Linked DNA regions of Coturnix japonica. The protein of the gene in region 1 interacts with the protein of each later gene in a biochemical or structural test. Links are inferred from orthologs where the notes say so. Each region holds a gene or a part of one and is shown in the gene's direction. Other genes may lie near its edges. The genes, in order: PRKN, EIF4B, ubiquitin-conjugating enzyme E2 variant 1, PARK7, MFN2, UBE2G1 and UBE2J1.

Evidence for each region.
Region 2: of the proteins of PRKN (region 1) and EIF4B, one has a biochemical effect on the other in vitro, tested with the Homo sapiens proteins (2 studies listed by BioGRID). The link is inferred for Coturnix japonica from reciprocal best matches to the Homo sapiens genes PRKN and EIF4B.
Region 3: the proteins of PRKN (region 1) and ubiquitin-conjugating enzyme E2 variant 1 form a complex in vitro, tested with the Homo sapiens proteins (4 studies listed by BioGRID). The link is inferred for Coturnix japonica from reciprocal best matches to the Homo sapiens genes PRKN and UBE2V1.
Region 4: the proteins of PRKN (region 1) and PARK7 form a complex in vitro, tested with the Homo sapiens proteins (2 studies listed by BioGRID, with this or other methods). The link is inferred for Coturnix japonica from reciprocal best matches to the Homo sapiens genes PRKN and PARK7.
Region 5: of the proteins of PRKN (region 1) and MFN2, one has a biochemical effect on the other in vitro, tested with the Homo sapiens proteins (2 studies listed by BioGRID). The link is inferred for Coturnix japonica from reciprocal best matches to the Homo sapiens genes PRKN and MFN2.
Region 6: the proteins of PRKN (region 1) and UBE2G1 form a complex in vitro, tested with the Homo sapiens proteins (5 studies listed by BioGRID). The link is inferred for Coturnix japonica from reciprocal best matches to the Homo sapiens genes PRKN and UBE2G1.
Region 7: the proteins of PRKN (region 1) and UBE2J1 form a complex in vitro, tested with the Homo sapiens proteins (4 studies listed by BioGRID). The link is inferred for Coturnix japonica from reciprocal best matches to the Homo sapiens genes PRKN and UBE2J1.

Annotation. Positions count from the first base shown.
Region 1 is NC_029518.1:40,121,991-40,126,061, forward strand, and holds the start of PRKN (E3 ubiquitin-protein ligase parkin), read left to right. Parts: upstream 1-1,271; 5' UTR 1,272-1,382; coding exon 1,383-1,580; intron 1,581-4,071. UniProt on the Homo sapiens protein: Functions within a multiprotein E3 ubiquitin ligase complex, catalyzing the covalent attachment of ubiquitin moieties onto substrate proteins. Substrates include SYT11 and VDAC1.
Region 2 is NC_029544.1:1,104,165-1,108,235, reverse strand, and holds the start of EIF4B (eukaryotic translation initiation factor 4B), read left to right. Parts: upstream 1-1,271; 5' UTR 1,272-1,357; coding exon 1,358-1,370; intron 1,371-3,337; coding exon 3,338-3,481; intron 3,482-3,889; coding exon 3,890-4,071. Other genes in the region: KRT18 (keratin, type I cytoskeletal 18), read left to right, coding at 425-539. UniProt on the Homo sapiens protein: Required for the binding of mRNA to ribosomes. Functions in close association with EIF4-F and EIF4-A. Binds near the 5'-terminal cap of mRNA in presence of EIF-4F and ATP.
Region 3 is NC_029535.1:12,304,356-12,307,855, forward strand, and holds part of ubiquitin-conjugating enzyme E2 variant 1, read left to right. Parts: intron 1-1,496; coding exon 1,497-1,622; intron 1,623-1,987; coding exon 1,988-2,134; 3' UTR 2,135-3,500. UniProt on the Homo sapiens protein: Has no ubiquitin ligase activity on its own. The UBE2V1-UBE2N heterodimer catalyzes the synthesis of non-canonical poly-ubiquitin chains that are linked through Lys-63.
Region 4 is NC_029536.1:196,701-200,060, reverse strand, and holds the end of PARK7 (protein/nucleic acid deglycase DJ-1), read left to right. Parts: intron 1-150; coding exon 151-210; intron 211-346; coding exon 347-416; intron 417-1,905; coding exon 1,906-1,992; intron 1,993-2,433; coding exon 2,434-2,594; 3' UTR 2,595-2,860; downstream 2,861-3,360. UniProt on the Homo sapiens protein: Multifunctional protein with controversial molecular function which plays an important role in cell protection against oxidative stress and cell death acting as oxidative stress sensor and redox-sensitive chaperone and protease.
Region 5 is NC_029536.1:4,790,006-4,794,016, reverse strand, and holds the start of MFN2 (mitofusin-2), read left to right. Parts: upstream 1-1,211; 5' UTR 1,212-1,305; intron 1,306-1,468; 5' UTR 1,469-1,583; intron 1,584-1,829; 5' UTR 1,830-1,931; intron 1,932-2,609; 5' UTR 2,610-2,613; coding exon 2,614-2,788; intron 2,789-3,430; coding exon 3,431-3,566; intron 3,567-3,887; coding exon 3,888-4,011. UniProt on the Homo sapiens protein: Mitochondrial outer membrane GTPase that mediates mitochondrial clustering and fusion. Mitochondria are highly dynamic organelles, and their morphology is determined by the equilibrium between mitochondrial fusion and fission events.
Region 6 is NC_029534.1:2,222,411-2,226,532, forward strand, and holds the start of UBE2G1 (ubiquitin-conjugating enzyme E2 G1), read left to right. Parts: upstream 1-1,322; 5' UTR 1,323-1,516; coding exon 1,517-1,562; intron 1,563-4,122. UniProt on the Homo sapiens protein: Accepts ubiquitin from the E1 complex and catalyzes its covalent attachment to other proteins. In vitro catalyzes 'Lys-48'-, as well as 'Lys-63'-linked polyubiquitination. May be involved in degradation of muscle-specific proteins.
Region 7 is NC_029518.1:68,954,870-68,958,369, forward strand, and holds part of UBE2J1 (ubiquitin-conjugating enzyme E2 J1), read left to right. Parts: intron 1-116; coding exon 117-190; intron 191-1,653; coding exon 1,654-1,785; intron 1,786-2,535; coding exon 2,536-2,620; intron 2,621-3,500. UniProt on the Homo sapiens protein: Catalyzes the covalent attachment of ubiquitin to other proteins. Functions in the selective degradation of misfolded membrane proteins from the endoplasmic reticulum (ERAD) and is essential for cells to recover from ER stress.

The DNA of each region.
Region 1 (4,071 bases):
TTTTTAGTAAATTTAGAGGATGTGCAAAACTCAAAATGTTGTGTAAAAAAATATATTGGTCTATGGCCTTAAAGATTATCCAGAAATAGCAAAATCTATATTAAAGGTGTAAAATTGCAAATATTTACAACGTTCATTGCTCAGCAAAAAATCGCCATCATTCTCAACTATATTCGCATGCTTTTAAAGCATTTGACTCCTTTACAGCAGTCAGGTACACTTTGTGTTTGGAAAATCATTGATCCTATTGTCAGTTTAAAAATAGATTTCCTCAAACTGTATGAGCACTTTTGAATTTATGCATCTGTCACTCATAAAAAATTCAAAGGAGTATGTCTTCAGTTAGAACATTGCAGTGGGAATGGGAAATCTTCAAGAGGGATGGTTATTGCAATCAATACCTAAACAGTTCAAATGTCAGGTAGCCAGTGACTAATTGATACAAATGATTTTATTGCTTTATATTACTTGCTAATTCCTTTGCTTTGTGCTAGTGGAACTGTTTATTGGCTGAAGCAGCCCACTGGGATTGAGTGTACTGTTTATGCAGCCTTAGTGACTGGTATGGATGTAGTCAAGCTTTTCTTGTTGCATAGTTCTTGTAGTCACTCCCCTGGTCAAGGGCTCAATGAGCACATTCAGCACCCTTGTGAAAAACAACACTGCCAGCTGAATGGCTGTAAGCTCATGAGTTTATTTGCCAGGCTTCTCAGGATATATAAACCACTCTCTGCAGCTCTAAAAATGATATGGCGAGTGCGGTAGTGATTTCCTGCACTGAAGGAACATGCCAGCAGGAGTTATGTACTGCAGATGTTTTAGTGAACTCTGAAAAGACCACAGTGTAATACAACACTCCCAAACATTTCTGCTAGCGTGTGATTTTTCTCTCCATCATTACCTTCCACAGAATTGTATCTGTGGGGAACCAATTTATGTGACCGTGCTCTGCAGTATAACAGTGAATTGTTTTGCTTAGTATTATTTAATGTAACTTAGCTCTAAAACTCAGTTTTCTGCATGCATTTGTTACGTGCAGCAGGAAAGAGCACAAGGGGCATAGAAAGTGTGTGTGTCCTGTGTCTGTTAAGGTCAGTTGTGGATCAGAGATTTGTTCCAGGACTTAGTGGTTGCCTGGACTGCTGGCTGGATGGGTCCCTTTTGGTTCTGATGTTTCTCTTCAATTTATAGCTCTGCTGGGGGAAGCACGTGGCTTTTGTTTATTAGTCACTAGCTATTCTGTGAAGGGAAATCCCATACAGTTCCTCTTTTCCAAATTATACACTACAGTATTAGTAGCTTTTCTCTTAAAACAGTCAGTGCTCTCTGAAATTGACAAATAAGCCACTTGTAGTCACTCTAGTACAGACCGGCAGTGAGAAATGTTTGCTTTAAAAGGTGTTTTCTCTTTTTCAGTGTTTGTCAGGTTCAACTCAAGCCATGGCTTCCCGGTGGAGCTTGGGTTGGAAGCCAGCATCCTCCAGCTGAAGGAGGCGGTTGCGCAGCGACAGGGAGTTCCAGCTGACCAGCTGCGGGTGATCTTTGCAGGGAGAGAGCTCAGCAACGACTTAACGCTGCAGGTAAGCCTCTGTGGTAGCTTTGCTCCTGGACTGCTGCCAGCTCTGCTGCCTCTGCCTCTAATGCTGCCAATCTGACATTCATTCCTGAGATCTAATAGAATAAATAGTGCCTGGGGATTCCTTGAACTTTACTCCACACTGCTTCATTAATTCTGACCTTCTTAATTATGCATTAAAACAGCAAGCAGGAAGGATAGGGAGAGCATATGAGTGAGAGAGTATGGGAGAGAGCTGTGCCTAGTGAATAAATGTTTACTGACTACAGAAGCAAGCCATGCACAATTTCTGTATCTGTTCAATTTTTATTTTACTTATTCCATTTGAATCTTAATGAAGAAGGATGTGAATAAATTGCTTCAGATCAGGCTGCACGGTCAGCACATTCTGTAGAATTTGTAACCCAATTGTGACCCCTGGAGGATAGCTACAGGGCTGCTGCTGCTGTTCTGAATGCTGCCGTGTGCCATACACAGGTGAACGCACTGCTGGAATGATGGTTCCAGTTCTAAAAAGCTCATGGAAGTGTGATCCAAACCACCAAGCTCATAAATGTGTGAAACTGAGAGCAGCAAGGAGTGTGGAAGAATGGCTATAAGTGGGTATCTGAATTTCAGTTTTTCAAGGTTAGGTAGCTGTTCAGTTCAATAAGTGCAGAATTGTTCATCTGTGATGAGCTGTAGTAAGCATGGAAATATAGGTTCAATTTTCTCTTCCTTGTACTCTTTACTACTCTTCCCAGTGCTGCCACAGTTGCTTTATCATTGTTTTTATTTATACTATGAGTAGTGAATGTGAATTTCAGAGTATGTTCAGGAAGGGGTTAGCATAAGATCATACATCTAAGACATGTAGGAACATAGGAAAACCTAAAGGCCTTTGAATAGAGTGCTCTTGAATTTACTGCCTTAATGAAACTGCTATCCTTCTGCAGTTGTATCAAAATAACAGACACAGTCTCTACTACTGCAGGTGATTATATAAAAGGTCCCTCACAGGCAGAAGTATTTCATGTTAATTAGCAGTCGTGTTTCAGAAGTATTTCTGTAATTAAAATGGATGCTAAGTCTGGGTACAGAAGGGTTACTACTGTATTAATGACCCGTCCTATTTCTCTGTGGTTAAGATACTCAATATTTTGCAAAGGATTTTAGTGTGTTTTAGGACAGAACACAATACAGAAATATGAACTGTTGTCAGTCCACAATGCATAACCTATAGATAGCATTGATGCATATATTTGTGATGTAAACTGCAGTGTATTTCACTTATATTTTTTCACATGTGAGAAGAAAAATAGTGGAAATTACCAGATACCAGTTGCTAGTTCTGGTTGTCTGTGTTATCCTGTCCTAAGCTTATGAACTCCTAGTGTTTCCTGAGCAGCTGTAGGTATTGGTGTTACTGCTATTTTATGTCACAGACATTGAATCATGTTTTTTGCCTTTAAAAAAAATTGCTGTCAGTTACAACATACAATGCTTTGCTGTGCAAATTAAAATGTGCTTTTTGGATATAGAAGCCTGCTGACTATTTGCTTAATTTATTTAATAGGAATGACAGAATTATCAAGTGTAGCCAAGTCTTACTAATAAACCGGATCTATGTTCATTGCTGTGACTTTCATTTTCTAAAGCATATAGGATGTAAAATGGCTATTTCAGGTGGCATAATCCATATTTGTGTATTTAAGTGCCTTACATAATCCAATGATTAATACCAACATGTCAACAAGATTTTTATTCCTGGTATTTAATTATTTTAATTGTTTTTATCTATTCATTGTAGAAATTGTCAACACAAGAAGAATGGTAGATGGTTTGATATATCTGACTTTTCCTACAGAAGGCAATTTGGGGCTTTTTGCATAAGCAGCTGAGTGCTAGTGAAATAGTAACTGCTGGCATTAATGTTGCATCTGTAATATCAGAGTTAACATCACATAGAAGAAAATTAATAACAGTTGTTTTCTGGACCTAATGATTTGCATGCAGATAAAATAAAACAAAACACAACATACATTTTTACATGGCTGAATCTTAGTTCTTGGTAGCTTAGAATTTCTAATTAGACCATTTTTTCCTTTTGTTTTTATAAATTACTTTTGTGCTTACTTACCCAGGATACTGTGGGAGAATTTAGAGATTTGGAATGAGCTGGGATAATCTTAGGAGTGTGGGGCAGGGATATAAGAAATATATCCCTGGATAACAAAGTTTACTGGTTTCACAGCTTGCAGAACTGCTAGATTTGGCTTGACAGCTACTTTGGGATCTCGTGCAGGTGATACAGAACACAACTGAAAATGTGAAAACTACATTTGTTTTCCTGTTCAGAGAGAATGGAAAAATCTTTCATGGTAGCTGAATACTGTAGAAGAGAAATGCATGCTGACTGGACAAATATTAGAGAGAAATAAGGATAAGGAAGAAAATGCCAACTTGAGATCTTTACATAAGTGAAAAATTTGAGAACAACAACAGTACAAAATATC
Region 2 (4,071 bases), on another chromosome or scaffold:
CAGTGGTGGCATTCGGTGGGGTGAGACCAAGTGTTGGGATGTGCAGGTCCCATCCTTTGGGATGTTTGGGGACAGCAAAGGGGCAGTGCTGGCATTCAATGAGATGAGCCCCAGTGTTGGGATATGCAGGACCATGGCTTACAGGGACAGCAAAGGGACAGCAGTGGCACCCCATAGGGATCCTATAGGGACAGCAGTGACACCCAGTGGGGACAGGGATAGTGGTGGCACCCAAGTGGCCAAGCATCCCAACCCTGATGTCCCCTCCAAGTTCCTTGGGGTTACAGCGGGGTAGGGTAGCGTGGGGCTGAGTGACACAGGGGTGGGTGACACGGGTGGGTAACAGGGTGGACATAGGGTGAGTAACATAAAGGTGGGTGACATAAAGGGGTGTGTGACCATGGGGACACCCGCTGCTCCACAGCCTGCAGGATGCTCTGGGGTCGGAGGGGACAGTGACCACGCAGCGCAGCACCCAGAGGACGGTGGATGGCAAAGTGGTGTCCGAGAGCAAAGAAGTCAAAGTGCGCAGCTACTGAATGGGGACGGCGTGGTGCCCCCTCCTGCCTTACAAATAAAGGAGCAAAGTGAAAGAGATGGGGCTCAGTGTGTGTGAATGGGAAACTGAGGCACAGGGGTGGGAGAGGGAGGGAGAGAGAGATGGTGGAACAGAAGTGGGGATGGATGGAGAGGGGGATGGATGGAGGGAGGGATGGAGGGAGGGATGGATGGATGGATGGATGGATGGATGGATGGATGGATGGATGGATGGATGGATGGAGGGAGGGATGGATGGAGGGAGGGATGGAGGGATGGAGGGAGGGAGATTGAGAGGAAAGAATGGAGGGATGGCAAGAGGGAGGGAGAGGTGGATGGAGGGATGGAGGAAAGGAGAAAAGGAGGGAGGGTGAGGTGGGGAGAGAGGGAAGAAGGGAGGAATGGTGAGAGGGAGGGAGAGATGGAAGGAGGGAGAAGGGAGAGATGGAGAGGGAAAGAAGGGGGAAGGGATGGAGGGGGGTGAGAAGGATGGAGGGAGGGAAGGAGAGAGGAAAGGAGGGAAGAATGGAGGGAAGGAGGAATAGAGAGAGAAGGGAGGGAATGAGGAGGAGGAGGGAGAGGGAGGGATAGATGGAGGGAGAGAAGGAGGAAGAAATGGAGGGATGGAAGGAGAGAGGGAAGAAGGAGGGATGGATGGAGGGGGAGCGCTCATCCCGGTGCCCCCCCCACGTGCGCGCTCCCGCGGCAATGCGCGCTCCCGTGTGCGTCTCCCCCCCGCCCTGCCGGAAGTGGGCGTCGCTCCGGAGATCACGTGACGGCTCCATCCGGGCCTTTCGCCCTCTCTCTGCCTCTTGCCAAGATGGCGGCCTCAGGTGAGCGCCGCGCGGTGGCTCCGGCCCCACATCGCCCCTCGCCCACCCCACACCCACCCCAGAGCGACCCTTCCCCACTCCGCGACCCCACCTCTGCCTCGAGCCTGGGTCTGCCGGGCAGTTGGCTGCGTTACGGGGGCGGCAATGCGGCTCTGCGGGGCCTTCACGGCCGGGAGCGGCCTTCGGGCCTTGCCCCCCCCACACCCCACATAGACACACAGCGCCCATTGGGGGGGGGGGCAGGGCAGGGCGTGGGACTGCGCATGCGCGGAGCTGGGCGGAGGGGGGGGTCCACGTGTGGGGTTGGGAGCGTGGAACGGGAACACGGAGCGATGCGGTGTGTTATATGTGTGTAATGGGCGGGGAGAGCTGGGCAATGCCGGCCCCATGCTGGGGCTGGGCCCTGTCCAGCTCCATATCATCACGTTTGTGCAGTGCTGGGACCTGTGCAGTGCTGTGGTGCTGGCTATGTGTGATATGCAGTGACATCTGGGCACTGCTGGCATCGTGCAGTGCTCCAGCACCACCCTGTGCAGTGCTGGGACCCGTACAGCTCAATATCGTCATGTTTGCGCAGTGCTGGGCCCTGTGCAGTGCATGGTGCAGTGCTGAATGTGTGTGATATGCAGTGACATCTGTGCAATGCTGGCCCCATGCAGTGCTCCAGCACCACCCCGTGCAGTGATGGAAGCTGTGCAGCTCAATATCATCATGTTTGTGTGTGATATGCAGTGACATCTGGGCACTGCTGGCATCATGCAGTGCTCCAGCACCACCCCGTGCAGTGCTGGGCCCTGTGCAGTGCAGCTGCAGTGCTGAATGTGTGTGATATGCAGTGACATCTGGACAATGCTGGCCCCATGCAGTGCTCCAGCACCACCCCATGCACTGCTGGGAGCTGTGCAGCTCGATATCATCATGTTTGTGCAGTGCTGGGCCCTGTGCAATGCATGGTGCAGCGCTGCAGTGCTGGATATGTGTGATATGCAGTGACATCTGTGCAATGCTGGCCTCATGCAGTGCTCCAGCACCACCCCATGCAGTGCTGGGCCCTGTGCAGTGCATGGTGCAGTGCTGGACGTGTGATATGCACTGACATCTGGGCATCATGCAGTGCACCATCATCATGTTTGTGCAGGGCTTGGCTCTGTGCAATGCACGGTGGCAGTGCTGTGGTGCTGGTTGTGTGCAATGCACAGTGATATCTATGCAATGCTGGCCCCATGCAGTGCTCCAGCAGCACCCCGTGCACTGCTAGGACTCATACAGTGCACCATCATTGCATGAGTGTGCTGCTGGGCTCCGTGCAGTGCTTGGAGGCAGTGCTGTCATGCTGGCCCTGTGCAGTCACATCAATGTTCTGGTTTGGAGAAGCTCTGTGAGATTTTGGGGAGCTCTTCATGTTTTTGGACGTCTCCATGTGCTTTTGCTGACCCCCGTGTTGGTTTTGGGGAGCTTTGCATCAGTTTTGGTGATCCCTTTGTGTTTTTGGGGAGTTAAGTGAGATTTTGGGGTGCTCAACATGTTTTTGGGTATCTTCATGTGCTTTTGGCAATCTCTATGCCAATTTTGGTTGCCTCTGTGCTGATATTGAGGAGCTCTGTGCCAGGTTTAACAACCCCTGTGCCACTTTTGGCCACTCCTCTGCTGATTTCAGTGGCCCCTGTGCCAGTTCTAAGGAGCTCTGTGTGATTTTGGTGCCCCCTGTGCCAGTTTTACTGACCTCTATGCCAGTACTGGTGACCCCTGTGCCAATTCTGATGAGCTCTACGCCACATTTGGTGCCACCTGTGCCACTTTGGCAGAGCTCCTCACTGATTCAAGGCAGCTTTGTGAATGCAGGGAGCTCCGCATGCTCCCCTTGACCCCCACCCTCCTCCCCACATCCCATTGCCACCAATGGGAGGGGGGTCATGGGGTGCAGACAGAGCCATGGTGCCGATCTCGCCGCCCCCCCCACCCCGCAGCAGCCAAGAAGAAGAACAAGAAGGGGAAGACCCTGACCCTGACCGACTTCCTGGCTGAGGATGGCGGCAGCGGTGCACCCACCTACATCCCCAAGCCGGTCAGCTGGGCTGATGAGACCGATGACCTGGACGGCGACGGTAGGGGTGAGAGCGAGCCTAGGGCAGATACCGTCTGTTTTTGGGGGGCTACCATCCATGTTGAGGGGTCACAGTCTGCATGAGTTGGCCACCATCTATGTGGGGTGGCCACTGTGTATAACACATGACCACCATCTAGATGATGTGGCCACCACCTCTAGCCCACGGCCACCACCTCTTTGCTCTGGCCAAGCAGCCCATGGCCACCACCTCCACATTGTGCCCACCCTCTTTAGCCCATGGCCACCACCCCCATGTTTTGGCCACCCTCCCCTGCAGCTCTTGGCCACCTCCTGCAACACATGACCACCACCTCCACGCAGTAGCCACCCCCTGCATCCCATGGCCACCTCTTTTAACCCACCACCTCCACGCCATGCCCACCTCCTTCAGCCCACCCATTCTCTCCCACAGTCTCCACTGCGTGGCACAGCAATGATGATGATGTGTACCGGGCACCGCTGATCGACCGCTCGCTGCTGCCCACCGCCCCCCGCGCCGCACGCGAGCCCAACATTGACCGCAGCCGCCTGCCCAAGTGCCCGCCCTACACGGCCTTCCTGGGCAACCTGCCCTACGATGTCACTGAGGAATCC
Region 3 (3,500 bases), on another chromosome or scaffold:
GGTGGAGGAATCTGGTGCTGGGTGTACTGCAGGGAAAATGAACTGCTGTGCTGAGCTGGGTCCAGGCTGCTGCTCTGGGCTGTCCCTGCTACCTTACATGGAAGCATACTGCTCCTCCCCAGGCTCAGTGCAGATGGTTTTGCAACCAGTCATTCCTCTTGCTTATACAAGCTATTCAATAACAGGGGTGCTGTCAGAACTTTGACTTGGTCTGGCTCTAGGCCTGTGCATGGTGAAGACTTTCTGTTCACTAGTCTTAATGCGATGTGGTTATATGCAAGGGCCATAAAAAGCTGCAGACTTTGGTGTGTTAATTGCTCTGTGCATAGAGCTCACATGGTTCTGTTAGGAGACTGGGACAGTCCAGGCTGAGTCAGGTAACTGTCCCCCAGTCTCTGGAACAATGTTGTTGCTGTTTGGAATCAGGATGTAGAAGGGTTGCTCCAAAAGTAATGCCTCCTGTTTTATGATGTTGGCCTGTGATGTCAGAGGCGGATGTTGCTGGTGTGGCAGTAGGGGCTGAACCTTCCCACCAATGTCCTGTTCCATTTTGTTGCTGTGTGACAGCTGGCAGCAGAGGGGCAGCCTGACAGAGTGGTGTCTGACATAGAAGTATGGAACAAAGGGGCAGAACAGAAAAAATGGCACCCATTGACATTCATTGATGATTGCTGAACCTATATGGAGACCAGGCAGTGGATATTGGTGCAGTCATGCTGGTGCCTTTCTGCATTGTCAATAGCAGCGTGAAGGACAAGCCGTGTTCCAGGTGACCTTGCACAGCTGTCATACAACAAGATGAAGAGTGCCTTGATCAGCTCATCTGCATGAATCAGCTAATGGTGGTGACTGTGTTGAAAAACAATGTTTTATAGCTGAGAATTTGCTCTATCAAATAATGTTATTGTGCTCTGTGTATCTGTGGTAGATTCTGTGGAAATAAATAGGAGACATTACTTTCGGAGCAACCTGTGTACTTTAAATGTACTAGATTTTGGAGCATTCACTTTTCAGGGAGCTCATGCATTGGGTTGACGATTGACCAAAGAAAGTTTTTAAGTGAAGCTTTAGGACCAGCCAACTTCAGATGGCTCTCTACACTAAAGCTATAGCTTTGATTTCAAGATCATGCCTGTGATTAGTGAATTGATAAAAACAGAACTGATTTATAAAGATTGGTTGAAGAGCAGAAAACTAAACTATATGGTGATAAGAAAAACTTTTTCAGGGAGTGAACAGGAAGCAATGCCAACTTCATTCTTTATGTGAAAATTCAATGTGTGCTTAAAAAAATAGTAGAATTTAATATGCAGAAGAGCAGCATTTAGTGCTCAAATATTGTAAAATGAACCCAAAACAGGGGGAGGCAGCACAGAATGGAAGCAGCTGACCTTCTGTTTAGTGGTTTGTGTTCCTGAAATAACCACTGTTTTAACCAAGTGTTTGTTGAACTGCCTGATATAATTGTTCCCCCTTCCTGCTTTTTTTTCCCCCAGACAATTTATGAAAACAGAATATACAGTCTGAAAGTAGAGTGTGGACCTAAATATCCAGAAGCACCTCCTACAGTTAGATTTGTAACTAAAATTAATATGAATGGAATAAATAATTCCAATGGAATGGTAAGTTTTTGTTTTTTACTATTTTACATGGTTTTCACGTGCAGCTTCTAATGAATGCTTTTTATTTGCAGTTTGCTTTAGTACTTTTTGTTTGCTCGTACCATTTCTTGGAGTAGAAGAGGGGAGTAGGAGGGAACTGTACAAACTGAGAGAATTCTGGAATCAAAATGTACTTTTCTTGTACATTTGCAGCTTGCAAATAGTTCTGCATGGATTAATCATGCTTTCAGGAAAGCCACCTGCTTGCTTTTGCCTTCTTTGGTTTCTTCCACTGAGACTTCTTAAAAGATCTTTGGCTGGAGGGTGTGTGTGGGAGTTATTGACAGTTCTGATTGTGACAGGAATGGTGTTTTTGTCTGTTCTAGGTGGACCCCAGAGCCATATCAGTCCTAGCAAAATGGCAGAATTCTTTTAGCATCAAAGTTGTTCTGCAAGAGCTTCGGCGTCTAATGATGTCTAAAGAAAATATGAAACTTCCTCAGCCACCTGAAGGACAATGTTACAGCAATTAATTAAAAAAATAATCATGCCCCCTTATTCAATTTAAGCTGTCTTCATTTTCCACAGTAGTAAATTTTCTAGATGCATCTTGTAGACCTCAAAATACTGGAAAGGAAGTTCCCATTCAGAGGAGATTTTTCTTGAGATACTGTAAATGATACTAATTTTTTTTTCATTTGAAATATAAGTTGTGCTATAACAAATAATCCTGTTGTGTAACCACTGTCCACATAGCTGAACTTCTGGTATCAGGAAGAGTTGATTTAAATTTATTACTGTCAAGACCAGTGTGGCACATCTAACTTAACTGTGAAGCATACATCCCACAATCACCTTGCTGTGTGTCTGGCCAGGATTGTTTTGTTGTTTATTTTCTTTTTCTGTCTTTTGCAATAGAGTTGAAGCTCAGGGCTGTTTATTAGAATAGGCACAAAGGTTTTCTTTCCAGTACGACACTGGGCTTTATGGACTACTAATGGGGATGTGTGCTAACCTCCGTCATCCCTCCCTTTGTGCTATCTCTAGTAAAGGCTGAATGTGACTGTAGTCTTTTTTGGTTTTATATTTTTTTTTCATGCCATGGTAATCTGGGGCGAGCTTTCCTCCTTTCCTCTGGCCAAGGCATAGATTGTATTCCTCTTCCTGATCTCCCTCACCAGTAATGTGAGCATTGGGTGAGAGATTCGGGGTTCTTTTAATCTCTTCCCTCTTCCCCTCTTTTTAGCAGGGATGCTGCTTTCTTTTTGCCCCTCTCTATGTCTCTTCTCACCCTTGGATGGCAGGGGTAAGCACTGGGGCAATAACTTGACCTATTCCCTCCTGCTTATCGTTTTGGTTTTGCAACAAATATAGTCTTCACCAGCCTGGGAATCAAGAGTATCCATTCTGATCGCAAACGTGGATGTTCCCTGTCCCTCTGGCTCTGCTGCCACACCACCCAGCTGGCTGCGGCTGATGTTAGATAGGCTTTTGACATGATGAAAAGAGCAGTAATATACCAGGATGACCAAAATCTGCTGCCAGGCTGCACGTAGGTTCAAAACACACACTCCAATCTGAGTAGCTGTATTTCTGGTGCTTTGGAATGACCCGGGAATGTTGACTAACTGAGTGCAGCACCCAGGTTGGCGCTTCTGAGGGTCTGACAGACAAATTGAGTCAGCGTAGATTCCATCAGGATTCTCTGAGTCTTGGAAGAGGAAACGCCCTGGTGAAGATCCGGGGAAGTGGTGCAGAGTGAGGACCAGTATTGGCTTTGCATCCTGGCAAATTGCTGCCTTTTCTGTTTTACTGTTGGACCACTAACTGCAGTGTGGATGCAAGCTTACATGCAGCCAACCTAGTGTGTCTGGAATTTTATGAAAAGATCAAGTGTTT
Region 4 (3,360 bases), on another chromosome or scaffold:
TTTACAGCAGGCCAAGATCAGATTTGGTGAAAGAAAAGGCTTCTCAGTGAAGGATCCCTTTGCTTCTCAATTCACTTAGCTGTGCTGTCCCTAGAACAATGTGACAGATAGGTCACCCTCTGTTCATCAAAGCTTTATCTGTCTGTTTAGGGACCTTACGATGTCGTTGTCCTGCCTGGAGGTAACCTTGGAGCTCAGAACTTGTCAGAGGTAAAGTCCTGGGATCAAGCTGTCAAGCTGTTTTTCTTTGTAAATCTTGTTCATGAATTTGCAGTAGAAAATGCCTCAACTGTGCTTCAACCCAAATAATCAACTCAAAGCAACGGCTTCTTTTTATCTTTTACAGTCTGCTGCTGTTAAAGACATTTTGAAGGATCAGGAAAGCAGGAAAGGCCTGATTGCTGCAATATGTGCAGGTGGGTTAGTAACAAGTTTTCCTTTGATAAATACTTGGGTGTTTGAAAGGACAGGCAGGCGGGTATCCTGCCTTAGAAATTTATATTCTTGTAACTTAGTTACAGAAATTTGCTCTACAAACCCATCAGCATTTGGATTTTCTAGTCATTTGGGTTAGTGTCTTAAAAAGTGACAACTAATTTGCTGGGTGTAGTGGAAATGCTGTAGTGGCCTGAAGCAATGATGGAGCACATGGTGGGAAGGCAGAGCCAACCCAGGGGAGCTCAGGTGCAGGCAATGTACTGGGTGATTGGATTGGGTGGAGTCAGGATCCAGCCCTCATTTAAGGGTTCCCAGTGGAGGTGGGGGTATCTCTCTGGAGTTCCCTGTGTACCTGAGGTCTTCTTGGTTTCTGTGAGTACAGTTGCCACCTCTGAGTAAATCCTCACTTGCTGCAGTCTGGGACTTTGTTACTCTGCTGTCATTGCTGACCTTTTTGTTGTGTTACAGCATTACATTTGGTTTTTAGTTTAGGGATTTTTGGTTTGTTTTTTTTTTAGTATCTGGTTATTTTCTCTGTGAGGACGCTGTGCTGGCTGAACATCGTTACTATAAATTTGTCTCATGACTCCTCTTCTGCCCTTTAGATTCAGCAGGGTGGCTGAAAATATAGTGTTACAGGCTCACCTTCAAAGGAGTGGTACTAAAATATGGAGTTACTCTACAGTGAGGGTTGTCTGCTTACATGTTCTGCACAGCTAGATATCTAGTTCAGTTCTTTATGTGGTTTGTATTTAAAGAAAAAACAAGATGAATAAATGCCGATATTCCCAGCTGAACAGAGAGAGTGGTCTATGTAGGGGAGAATGAGGAGAGTGATGATAACTGTGTAGGAGATGCTCTAACGGTGTGTGTTTGCAGCATGTGTTTGTGTTTTGTCTGGTGTGTGGCTGCTTTTTATTTTGTTTTCGTTCTTCAGTTGAGCAATACACATGAATTTGTGAGCAGTCCTAAGTGTGGCTCTGGTGGTCTTTTCCTTCTTTACCCGTATGTTGCAGAACAATTCATTTATTTTATGTGTAGTGCTTTTCAGAACTTTTCCAGCTGAACACGAGGGAAGTTATTTCCTTGTTGCTTCATTTTCTGAAATGAATCAGATACGCAGAAATGACACTTGAATCAGCCAAATCCTGCATTCAGTTTCTTCTGGAATTCCCATAAGGATTTTTTTCTTGGGTGATCTAAGACAACTTTACACAAGTTTCTTCCTCAATTCAGGCAAGGGAGGAAGTGATGGAAAGAGAAAGAGAATGTAAAAACTGGAAGGTTAGCTGTTAACCCATAGCTGTCCAAAATGCTGCTTGGTGCACAATTCCAGCACATAAAGGCCTTTTCAAATGAAATTTTATCAGATAATCCTTACCAAGGCTGTGAGATTTGAGCCCCTGGATGCGTGTTCTTATGTTTGTAGCAGATAAGTTTCTCACTGATGTGTGTGTGTCCTTACAGGCCCTACTGCCCTCCTGGCACATGGGATAGGATTTGGAAGCAAAGTCACAACACATCCTTTGGCCAAAGATAAAATGATGAATGGAGGTATGTAATTAATGTTATAGCTTTATTTCTAAACTCGGAAAGTATTTTGTCCTAACTCTTCATTTAAAGAAAAGTAAATAACGTTTGCATCTCATTCTGTATCTCAGAGTTTCCTTAGTGCTTTCATATGCATAATCAAAATTCAACAGCTTGCAGATAGGTGCACTTATATGCCATGTGAACAAGCTGGCAGAACTCCCTGTAGGGCCTTTTCCTCTCTGAGGACTGTAGGCAGCGATGAGTTGCTTGGTTCTGCAGGGACAGGGATACAGAGCCCAGAGTGAGCTTGGCTCATGTGAGTCATTGAGGTGTGTACTCAAGAATGCGATGCTGTTGGTGGAGCTTGCTGCCCCTCAGTTGCCGTAGCCTGTGAGCAGGCAGGTCTGTGCTCTGTGTCACTGGAATGGAGACTGACCCTCTTATTGTTGTGTCACCCCTAAGCTCACTACTCCTACTCCGAGAGCCGTGTGGAGAAAGATGGGAACATCCTCACCAGCCGTGGCCCTGGTACGAGCTTTGAGTTTGGGTTGGCCATTGTTGAAGTACTGATGGGGAAGGAGGTGGCTGAACAAGTGAAGGCACCCTTAATATTGAAGGACTGAAATGCTGTTGTGGGACATGGAGTAGAACAATTTCAGGTGGTGAGTCTTGTCCTTTGTAGAATAACTGAGATGCACAATGTAGTTGTGGATGAAATTAACAGCTGTGCTCACCTAAATTAGGACATCTCACCAGTGTTTATTCCTGGAAGAAAACTCTGTTAGCAAAGACCTTCACTATCATTAGCAACTAAATAATCTTAGATCCTGGCATTTCAAAATCGCGTGGACAAATGTTTGCTGATTAAATAAAAATGAAACAACCTTGATTGTTTGTTGCTTCTTTGTGCGTTTTTTCCCCAGTCCCGAGCAGGGGCTGCAGTGAGTAACTTGCTTATCACTAGTGTCTGGCTCACACTTCTCTGTGCAGTGTGATAATCCGACTCAGTGTGGCACAGACTGGTGTGCCCTTCTCTGGAACTGGGAATTTCCCTGGTCTTAAGGCATTAAGGCTGTTTGCTGTGTAGGTTTGGTTGTGCCTTTTGTTTTCTGGAAGGACGCTCAGTAGTGCTGGTTTTTCTCTTCAGCTTGTTGTGAGATTAAGAAACTACATCGATCATTTCTTTTTTGTTTTTAGGGGGTTCAGACCTGATGGTTGTAAGCGTAATGTTTTGTGCATTGATGGCTTCAAAGTGTTTTGTCCTGGTGGCTCTTTGTGTATCTGAATTCAGGGTGGGATTGTTTGGCATCTTTCTTTTTTCCTCTGATGTTTTTCCTCTGTGCAATATATTTGCACTCTTTTTCCTTTGCAGCTTTAAGGTGCTGACAT
Region 5 (4,011 bases), on another chromosome or scaffold:
TGGAAATCCAGCTCTTTGGAGTCAAGTCACAAGCTTTCTCTCCAAGTAGCTGGAATCTCTTTTTTATATCCACAGCATATACAGGACTGGACACTTAGAAAATCATTTCTGGATACTATACCAAACATTATCAAGGAGCTGGCTCCAAGAGTCGTAATGGTTACATGTCACACCAGATGAAACTCAGTAGTAACAGCCTGAAGATCATCTGAATCCTTACCTCTATGCAGTCTTTGGAAACACATCACAGAGTTCAAAGCAGCAGCAATAGCAATGTAGGTGCTTTGTGGTAGTCAATGAAGGCCCATTAATTATACATTATCTCTGGGATTAGTCTGAAGACATAGAAAAAAGAAATAGCCTCCCTATCTTCTGTTACTGCAGTTTAGGGAGGGCTTCAGTGCTGAATCAGCTCAGCTCTATCCTTGTTAAGATCTACAAGCTCTAATGATGGGTTAACAACCCAGAGGCCCCACTGATCTTTGGCCTCATTCTCCTTCTTAGCGATCATTTGGGTAGTTCCCTTTGCATCCAGCTTGTTTGAGCCAACGCTGTAGAAGAACTATTTTCTGGTACTTAGAGGAAATCATTATTTGGTATTTCTAATATTTGAGATTGCAAACCAAAGCATCCCCCTGGGGATGAGACTCATAGAAATGAGTGGGTGAGTGCTCAGAGGTTGTGGCAAACCAATAAGGGATAAAAAACTGCCTAGAATTGAGCTGTGGGTAGAGGGGGAGCAGAGAAAAACCGTTGTATTGCTGCCTGTGAGAGACCTGCTCTGCTTTTAGACACTATTATGTGTATGAAGGCTGGTTTGTTTCACAGGCAGTACATTCACATTGGGATTGGGGTGGACCCACAGGGCTGCTCTCTGAGGGCTCTTTAGGGTCTCCTTCAGTGCTGTGCATCCACCAGGGGAGAAAAAACAGTTGAAAACGGTAAAAATTCGTGCTGTAACCAAATGAAGAGACTTTCCAGGCCCACGGTTGAGAAAACATTGACATGGTGTATGTATTTATTTAGCTTCCCCACACACACACTTATTTTATTGTGTTTTTCCTCTGCCCGATACTATGATCGGAATCCGCGCGGAGCCGCTTCACACACAGATTCCAACCGTGGCAAGTGGGAGGTGGGGAAATTCGCATTAAACTATTCCCAAACGCTCACTGTGGTTGTGTTTCTTCCACGACGGGGCGGCTCCTCAGAACTACAGCTCCCGAAGCACCCCGGGACAGAGCCCGCCTACCCAGGGGTGGTGCCGGGGGTTAAGATGGCTGCGCTGCGGGAGCGGCCGTGAAGGTGAGCGTTGGTTGCGGGCTGTGATGGCGGCTCCTGTGAGGGGTTCGGGGCTCTGAGGTGGCGGCCGCGCTGTGGGGAGAACGCGCTTCCCGCCCTTTTTATTGGCGGGAATCCGCCGTTCTCTGAGGGCCGAGTTCGAGGCCTGCGCCTCCCTCTGTCGTAGGGAGGCGGCTGGATTCGGAGTGAGGGAAGGAGCTGTGGTGGAACGGCGCTGTTCGTGTTCTGGAGGGGCTCGAGTTGACCATGTCCGGCTTGTGAGAGCGAAACACATCCTAAAAGTAAGCGGGGAAGGGAGGGAGTGATCCCTTGGAAGGGAGGAGGGAAGGTGGGTTTTTATTCTTTCTAGATATTTGAGTGACTTCTAAGTGTGGGAATTAGAAACGTTCCTTGTGGAATGATCTTTAGAACGTGTATTATCTAGTTCTCAGTAGGCGTCTTCTGTCTCCCAGGGGTCTGTATTGAGACATCACCTTTATCAATATACATTTTATATATGTGTGTACACCGTACCCTTATACTATCAGGGCATACACATTGGGATCAAGATCAGCAATTTGCTGATGGCACCACACTGAGCACTGCAGTTGACAGGGCAGAAGGAAGCGATGCCCTCCAGAGGGATCCTGGTAGGTGAAAATCTGAACATGAACCAGCACTGTGTGATGGCAGCACTGAAGGCCCACACACAGAACAGCATCCTGGGCTGCTGCAGCAGATGGGTGCCAGCAGGATGAAGGGATTTTCCTCCTGCTCTCTGCTTTTGTGAGGCCCCAGCTGCAGTTCTGCACCCAGGCCTGTGGCCTCCAGCAATGGAAGGATGTGGGGCTGTTGGGGGGGATCCAGAGGACAGCTGTGAGGATGCTCAGAGAGCTGCAGCACCTCTTCTATGGAGAAAGATTGGAGGAGTTGGGCTTGTTCAGCCTGGAGAGGGCTCCAAGGAGACCTCATTGCTGCATTCCAGTACTTTAAGGGAGCTTATAAACAGGAGAGAAGTGAACTTTTTACACAGGTAGTCAGTGATAGAACAAGGGGAAGTGGTTTTAAACTAAGAGATGGGAAACTTAAGTCTCTCTTGCTGCTGCCCGGAGCTGTGGGAGCCCCATCCCTGAAGGTGCCCACAGCCATGGATGGGCCCTGAGCAGCCTGAGCTGGTGGGGAACACCCTGTGTGTGGCAGGGTTGGAACTGAGTAATCTCTGAGTTCCTTTCCAGCCCAACCGTTGTATGATTAAATATCAGACACTTGGTTGTGTGGCTGTTAGGCCTCAGTGAGTTCCCTTTCCTTACTGATTTTTTTCCCTATAGCGCAATGTCCCTGTTGTTTACTCGTTCCAAGTCAATAGTTGCAGTGAAGAAGGATAAAAGACACATGGCTGAGGTCAATGCTTCTCCACTCAAACATTTTGTCACTGCAAAGAAGAAAATCAATGGCATCTTTGAGCAACTGGCCGCATACATCAATGAGAGCTCCTCATTCCTGGAGGGTAAGCTGAGCTGAATGGTGCTTTGCCTGCACGTGGTTCCCAAGCAACACACCAAAACCCTCATTTATTTATAAATACGTATCTCTTTATATGTCAGTATTTGTATGAGGGGACTGAAAATTATTGTAGTGAATTTGAGTGAAGTTTAGGCCTCATATTTCAAAGCTGATTTACGTTGGTAATGTATGAAACCAAGCTAGTTAGTGGGCTCCGTTGTTTCTGGGGAAGGTTATTTCTATGTGTTTTGTTTTTAAAATGAACTATTTGAGGCTCTTTTGCTTGTGTGCATATAATCCTTTCAGTATTCTTGCCTAGACACGTCATTGCCAGTGACGTGGAACACATACAGTAATTGGCTTTACAGCTTACGATGCAGAGAGAAGGTTTTTAAGGGTGCTGGGATGTTTGAAGCATTGGATGCGTTCTGTTTAAGGCGGTCATGAGGATAAAGAATGGTTATTAGATAAAGAGACTGGTAGATAATGCTGCTGGGTGTAACTGCATGCTTCAGCATGACCTGTCTGAACTGTGAGATACAGATAAGCATTTGGTTGTGTATGTTAAATTATGGGGAGGTGTTTTACCCAGTACTGAGGCAGATCGCTTCAGGGATTCAGGGACATGATGTGTTTTGATTTTTAGAAACACACAGGAACGTGGAGCTTGATCCTGTCACCACAGAAGAGCAGGTATTGGAAGTCAAAGGCTACTTGTCAAAAGTCAGTGGCATTAGTGAAGTGCTGGCGAGGCGACACATGAAAGTGGCTTTTTTTGGAAGGTAAGTCGAGTGCTTACATTGCCTACACTCCCTACTGGGTAAAGAAACTTGCATCTTTAGGATCATAGCCAAAAATGTATTTATAGAAGCATTAGTGCTCCAGCTTCTGGATGCAACGTGTGGCACATGTCCCTAGTTCTAGTATTTGTGTGAATGGGACTCAAATACTGTAGAACATAATCTATTTAGAAGAAAAAAAATGGGTTCTTTTTTAAGTTGTCTGTAGCAAATGAATTGTTAGTGCTTCTGGAGCTGTTTTGGTTTAGATGACTTGTTCTGAGCTCAGAAGCCCAGCTATGCTGTTCTTTAATTTTGCTTCAGGACGAGCAATGGGAAAAGCACTGTGATAAATGCCATGCTATGGGACAAAGTCCTTCCTTCAGGAATTGGGCACACCACCAATTGTTTCCTGCGTGTAGAAGGGACTGATGGTCATGAAGCTTTC
Region 6 (4,122 bases), on another chromosome or scaffold:
TGGGAATTGGAGTTAACCTACAGCAGGAAGGACTTCCACAAAGACCTCCTTTGGCTACAAACACCATTTATAAGATGAATTTCAGTAATGCTGCGGGATGTCTTTTTTCATCCTAGTTTAATCATTGAAGAGGACACGGATTTAATCAGAATTGCCGGAATGCCTGAGAATGGCTTTGTGATTAATTGTTGGAGTGCAGTAATGAAACGCTCGAACTATAACCGGAATTACAACAAGGGGAGAAGATTCCAGCATTGCCAGTAAAGCATCTCGTCTATCCTGGGTTTCTCACTCTTGTTGCAAAGCCAAGTTTGATGTTCACATAGGAATTCCTCGTGGTCGAAAACAATGAAGAGTGTTACTTTCGAGCAGGATAAATCCTTTTTAGCAGCTCCTTACAACAGAGCGGGGAGTTTCCCAGTTTCCGATGATGATAACTGCTCACCAATCGGCCAGAAACTGCATTTCTTTAACAATTTAGTCGTAAAATCGGTAAAATTAGAGACTCCAGCGGGGGGTACCGCGTTCACCTCATGGTACCAGGCGGGCACTCACTGAGGTGGCGTTCAGACACCGTTGCCACCTTATAGCAGCCCGTGCTGCCCCCACAGAGCCCCACAGAGCCCACAGAGCCACCCACAGCCCCACAGAACCCCACAGACCCCATAGAGCCCCACAGAGCCCCATAGACCCCATAGACCCCATAGAGCCCCATAGAGCCCCATAGACCCCATAGAGCCCCATAGACCCCATAGAGCCCCATAGACCCCATAGAGCCCCATAGAACCCCATAGAGCCACCCACAGCCCCACAGACCCCATAGACCCCACAGACCCCACAGACCCCATAGACCCCACAGACCCCATAGACCCCACAGACCCCATAGACCCCACAGAACCCCACAGAGCCACCCACAGACCCCACAGAGCCCCTCAGAGCCCCACAGCGCAGCAATCCCGCACAGCGAGCAACTCTCCATCAGCCAGCACTGCTTCCCCCAGCCAAATAATAACCACGGCTCCCTCTGGGCGTGGGAGATGGCTTCGAACGAGGACAAAACGCTGTTTTTTGTTACGTTACGGCTCTTTATGTCACAGCAGCCTTAGAATCAACTAAGGTTGGCAAAGAACGCTTAAACACATCCATCACTGAGGAAAAGCCGTGAGTGAACTGAAGGCTGCTGCCCTCAGGAGACCCGCTGCCCTCAGCGAAACGGATGGCGGCCTGGCTTCTCCTCGCCCCGCCTCCACACACACACAGCTCAGCCGCCACTCCTAAGATGGCGGCGCGGAAGGGCCTGTAGCTGCTCGAAGTGCGTCTGCGCAGAGCGGAGTGCAGGAGGAGGAGGAGGAGCAGGGCGGCACGGAGCCACGGCCGCGCGCCCCTGGCAGGGACCCTGCGTGCTGTGGCGGCGGTGCGGGCGGGCTGAGGGGGCCACTCGCAGCCGCCTCGGGCTCTGGGAGCACCGGGAGCCGCGCCGTCCTCGGGACTCATTCCGAGGATAGAAAGGGAGAGAATGACGGAGCTCCAGTCCGCCTTGTTACTGCGGAGACAGCTAGCAGGTACCGGCGGATGGAGAGAGGAGACGGGAGAACGGAGTCTGAGGGCAGGACGGGTCGTGAGGGGGAGGAGGGGGACGGCGGGGAGCGGGGCGGCTGTGAGGGGGAAGGGGAGGCGGCGGCCTAACCAGCACCAACCCCCCCTGAGCTCAGTGCCCGGCCCGGGGCTGAGGGAACTAGGCCGGGGGGGGAGGGGGAGCGTGGCAGCGCGGCCGGGGGGAGGGGAGGGGAGTAGGGGAGGGGAGCGGGGCCGGCTCGGTACGGAGCGGGCTGTGGGGGCTGCGCTTCCACCGCCGTTCCCGTCCCGGCAGCGGCTCCGCTCGGGCCTCCGCGGCCTCTTGTCCCCTCGCTGGGCCTCGCCGTGGGGGTGCATTGCGGGGAGGGCCGCGCGGTGTTGTCAGAAGCGGAGGTGGGAGTTGTATGGCGGCTCTATATATAATATATAACACATATATATTTTTCCCTTCGATTTTTATTATCCTCCCCCTCCTCGCGTCCAGAAGCGGCGCCTCAGGGCTGAGCTCGCCGCGGGGACCTGAGCTGCCCCCGTCCCGCCCCCCGCTCCGTGCCCGTGAGGAAGGAAGGGCCGCTGCCCCCTTTGTTGTGAGCGCAGTGGGGCGAGGAGCGGCCCGTGGTGCTGCGGGCCGGCAGCCCATAGCGGCGGCTCCCCCTCCCTTTGTGTCCCGGGCGGCCCCGCGCTGCTCCGTGTGCCCGGGCTGCGGCCGCGGTGGGGTCCTGGCTCGGCCCGGCGGCGCCGCGCATGCGCTGGTTGTCGGGGCGCACAATGCAGCTCCATGTGTCGCTCGCTGCCAGATTTAAAGAGACACGGAGCCGGCGGAGCAGGGAGGGGGTTGAACGCTCCCTCCCCCATCGCACGTGTGTGCTCCGAACCGCCCCTGAGCAACGCCGGCACCTCGGGCAGCTCCGCTGGCTGCTGTGCGCCTTACGTAAAAATGAGTTGCTCCATAGCCAGATAAGGAAATGCTCGCTAGGTGTACCTAAAGCCGGGCAAATAGAGCTCTGTAGCGCTTCGGAGGGACGGGTCACAGCCGTGCGGGGGGTCCCTGCGGGAGGGATGCGGCCCCCGGTGGCTTTAGGGCTCTGCTCACTGCGGAGTTGCATAACAGAGTGCGGGAGCTGCATGGCGCTGAGTGATGGGAGCGAGGTGGAGCTGAGGCCCGGCCAAGCAGCGGGGCACGGTGGGCTAAAACTTATTGAAGGTGATTTTTGTAAATAAAAAGATTTCCTCCACGCGGTGTGATCGTGTCAGTGGGCCCAGCAGGCGTTACGGCATTCCTGAACATCTGCTGGGGCATCTACTTGTTCACATAAGCAGTTATCAATATATATAGGCTTAAACCAGGAGCTCCAAAAATTCTTGCTTCTGCAACAGTTCTCTCTTCTGTAAGTGATCACACTGGGAGGAGATGGTGTTGAGGCTGCTCTTTAGCTTCATACAAACAAGCGTTTGGTGACCTGAGACGGTCTGGAATTTGTGTGTTAATTAAATAATTGTACACCGTGAAAGGAAGTTCCCAACTTGAGCTGAGTGTCAAAGGGACCATCAAGAAACTTTCAGACCGCCTGTGTTGTGTAGTTCTTTATGACCTGCCCTCTGAATGAAGGTTGGTTGGATGTGCTGCTGGACTTGCAGGCTCTTAGACTGACTGAAGCCCTCAGTCTTTCTGCTCTCTCTCTTCTGAGAGCTTCACGTGCCGTGTAAAAGCAGTGAACCCTTCCAGTTGCCTTATTACTGATACTGAGTCAACTGGGCACTGCGGCCATTTGCATGTAACGTGCAGCCCCTTTGTGAGGCCTTTGGGTTTTAAGTACCATCAGTACTTTTTTTTTCCTACATCTACTTAGAGATATTAAAATATATAAATAATATATACATAAATTATACAGAAATGTGCATATACTTTTATGTAATTTTTGTGCTTCTGTGCATAGAAAGTGGTTGAGTGTATGCACTGAAGTGTGTGGGGAGTCTGAAATTCTTCAGGAGCTCAGCCTGGAGTAGTTACTGACCTGGAAAGGGAAATATGTTGTTTCTTCCATATTTGATAATCTCTGCTGTATCTGAATGGAGCTGAAGCAAGGCCCTGAACTGCTTTTTCTAATGGCAGGCTGCTTGAAGGTGCAGTGCAGAGACTGAGCCTTGTGAGGTCTCACCTTCCCCCCCGCTGCTGTTTTCTCCCAGCTCTCATCTGCTCCAGTGTATCCCTCATTGTACCCACGCTGTTTTACCTGCCTCAAAACTAAAACCAATGCTGAGGGTTTTTTTCTTACTGAATGGGACTGATATTTCAGTCCTAATGCTGCATGCAGCTTTGGGTTGTGTATTGAGTGTGGTGAGTGATTGGGTTGTACTTAATGGTTGGGTTTTGGAGGGCAGCAAAGTGGAGATGAGTTACGTCATCTGAACTCATTTAAACTGGTCGAGGTCACTCCTTTATCAGTGTTGTTCAAACTGTGAGAGATCTGAAGTCAGGGCTGTTATTTGGTGTGGAGGGAGGATAACTGGACCTGAGGCCCTTATGGTTGCAGAAGAGTTGAGGAA
Region 7 (3,500 bases), about 29 Mb from region 1:
GTGTTAAAAGTACTAGTTAGCTGAAAGGAGCTCTTTCCGAAGTGTTTACACATGTTTGTGTGCAGTAGGTGTTATTATTTTCCTTATTTTCATGTTTCATGCTCTCTTTCTTTCAGCTGTCAAACGTTTGATGAAAGAGGCTGCAGAACTGAAGGATCCTACAGATCATTATCACGCACAACCTTTGGAGGTTTGTTTCCCCACGTGCTTGCTGCAGGGGCATGTAATGAGGCTCTAAGTCCTCTATGTATATTTAGACATGCATATTTAAATAGCAGCAAACTATTCTAAAGTGAATTCAGTTCTTCAGAGGTTTTGGAAATCAAGAGCAGAATTCCATATTTCATAGTACTGTAGACTGAAATTGTTAGTGAAAGTACACAACAATAGTGCTTTCACATGCCATGTAAGTGATTCTGTCACATGGATACAATATGTTTATTCCCCTCTCTCTTCCCTGGGACTATTATGTTTAATTAAGCTTTTTTACTGTTATCAGACCCACTATTTTCATCCTAGATGCTGAATGTGGCATCATGGGAAGGTTTTGGATTGAAAGGACAGTGAAATTCTGGTGCTTAGAAGCATAAAAAGAAACATGTTCTGATTTTTCTGGAATAATCACAGTCAAGTTAATGTTATGCTCAGTTTAGGGAATTAACTGCTTACAGAAGAGTGTAGCATATTAAACATGCTTGTAGCTGTTAGCATGTTTCTGTTTTGCTACTGACCAGCCTTGGTCTCTACCTCATTTTCTTCTTTCTGAGGTGAAATGTAAGGTTTAGTTCGTGCTATTGTAATTGAAATGAGAACCTTATTTTGCAGTTTGAACGGTGACTCATAGGGAAGAGAACAGTGAGAAGAAGTGCTGGAAATGTTGACAGTTCCCTCCCTTAGGAAATGTTGTAGCTAGATGAGCAGTCACACGCATGTGATACCTGTGTTCAGCATTAGTTAGGAGATCTTGTTCACCAAAGGCAAGCTTCACTGGGCTGCAGTGTTAAAACTAGGTGTTGTCTTGTTTTTGTCCAAGGAGTCATGAGCATTAGGAGATCTGAAGCACAAAGCCAAACTCAGAGCCCTCAAAAATAATGCTTAAGGAAGAGCTGTTTCCTTGTCCAATGAAAATGTTCTGAAGTTCAAAATCTATATATTGCAGTAGGGTGTGGTAGTGGTGAGTCTTTGTGGAAAAACAAATGAGGAAGGGAATTCTAAGGAACTTGCATCAAATCCCTTTGTTGCCCTGGCACAGAAGAGACATTGACGTAGAAGGCTGTAATTAATGTTCTTACTTGGAGTGAGCCTCTCAGTTCTGTATAAACCAGTATTCACTGGGGTAAAGACTGAGTTTTCCCGTATTTGACTCCATGTATTCCATCTGACAGGAAATGAATAGGCACAGCTAGAGTGAAGTCCATTAGAATTTTCCAACTAAGTCATTTGGTAAGAAAATTACCAGGAAGCTACTTCATCTTTCCTTTTCAGTGAAATCTTAGCATACTGTTGGTTATCTTCATTTCTGATTTATTTATTTTTTTCCTTATTTTAAAACTTGCCATTCATTTTTTCCTTGGAACAAAGGCTAAAGAAATGATAATTAGATGTCAACTTCCTTGACACTTATTTCTTTTTCCCTTGCTGTGGTCATTTTAGGACAATCTTTTTGAATGGCACTTTACTGTTAGAGGTCCTCCAGATTCAGATTTTGATGGAGGAATTTATCACGGACGGATAGTACTTCCACCTGAATATCCCATGAAACCACCAAGCATTATTTTGCTGACGGTAAGTATATGAAAGATTCCTAGCACCTAAGGTAACATTATTTTTATAAGACAGGGGTCATAGTACAATTAATGCTGCCAGTTTAGTGACAGAAGTCTTTGAAAGTGACTTTGGTATAATGTAGTTAGATGAAGTTTTGGATCTACAAGTGGGAGACTTCCCCAAAACTAATACTGATTGCTTATATGGATGTCTAACCTTCCTGTTGTCTCTGTGGATCACAGAATAATAGAGTAATTATGGTTGGAAATGACCACTAACATCACCTTGTCCAGTTGTCAGCCTACCACTGCTGTGCGCAAGGCTAGGCTGGATGGGACTTTGAGCAACCTCGCCTAGTGGAAGATGTCCCTGCCTATAGCATTGGAACTACATGAACTTACATAATCTACGTGGTCTCTGTTAATGCGTGAAAAACAGATCTATGGTATGGGTGAAGGCCTGTATTTCTGTGTAATTTCATAGAGCTATAGACTTTCAGAGTCTCCACACATGTGTGGATTACGGGAGCAACAGAGAAGCCATTATGTCACACTGGGACATATGAGGTATCAGGTAGGGGTCTCTTTGTGCATGAACTAAGGTAGTTGGCAGACTTCTTTGATTCAGAAAGCTGAATGCTGTATTTGCAAGGTTGGTAGTAATACAGTTATCAAGTATTGTTTGCATATGGATTTATGATATTTTTGATAACTTGTTTTCTTTGCACAAATTAACTTCACGTTTTATTATATCCTCCTTTCTTTAAAGGCTAATGGCAGGTTTGAAGTGGGGAAGAAAATTTGCTTAAGCATCTCAGGGCATCATCCTGAAACATGGCAGCCTTCATGGAGTAGTAAGTAACAAATTATTTGGAAATCATCTTTACACTGAAAAATCTCACAAAGAATGCTACAGTAATACTTCACTAATACTTCTCTCGATGCTTGGACTAATTCTTAGTATGTGTGCTGAAACTCCTCTTATGTGCTTCCCTGAATTCGAGGAAACTCTGGAATTGCTGTACCTCTGGTCTTCACTGAGGATTGAGCAGAAAAAACCCTCTTCTGTGGTTTTGAGTTCATTAATGTATTTATTCACATTGGTTTGTTTGACAGAATGTGACTGAACTACAAGGCAGTGCTGCTACTGACAGGATTTTAGTTATTTATTATAATATTAGGAGAATAAATGGAAACGGCACTGAAAAATATTGTCAGAACTGCAAATATTAAGCAGAACAGAAAGGTTGCCTTCCTAGCTCTGAGTAAGGATATGAGATGCAATTTCTGCTGCTTGTGTTCTACCCCATGCAAACACACCCGTGTTCTTAACTGCAATGAATAGAGCTCGTAGTGGAAGGGGAGGCAGATTTTTGAGGGAGCAAAAGGATGGGAGAGCTGTAGAAATGTGAAGTTGTGAAAGAGGGACACAGGAAGTTTTGGAAACTGTTCAATAAACAGAAGCTGAAAAGGTTGAGAAACTGAGGAGTGTTGGTAAGCTGTTAATGCTTGTGCATCCAAATAAAAATTTCTTGGACTCGTTAAGATATTCTTAACTTTTAAAAACCATTCTTACATTAAAATATTTTAAATTCCATTACTTCACTTTTTTTCCCCTTGGTCTAATCACTAAAAGCAGCCTGAGTGTCAATTGAGAGGAGAGTAGTCAGCTTTTATGCTAATGCTTTACCTCTGAGCGCTCCAGAGGAAAGTCATGGTCTAAGCTGAGAATAA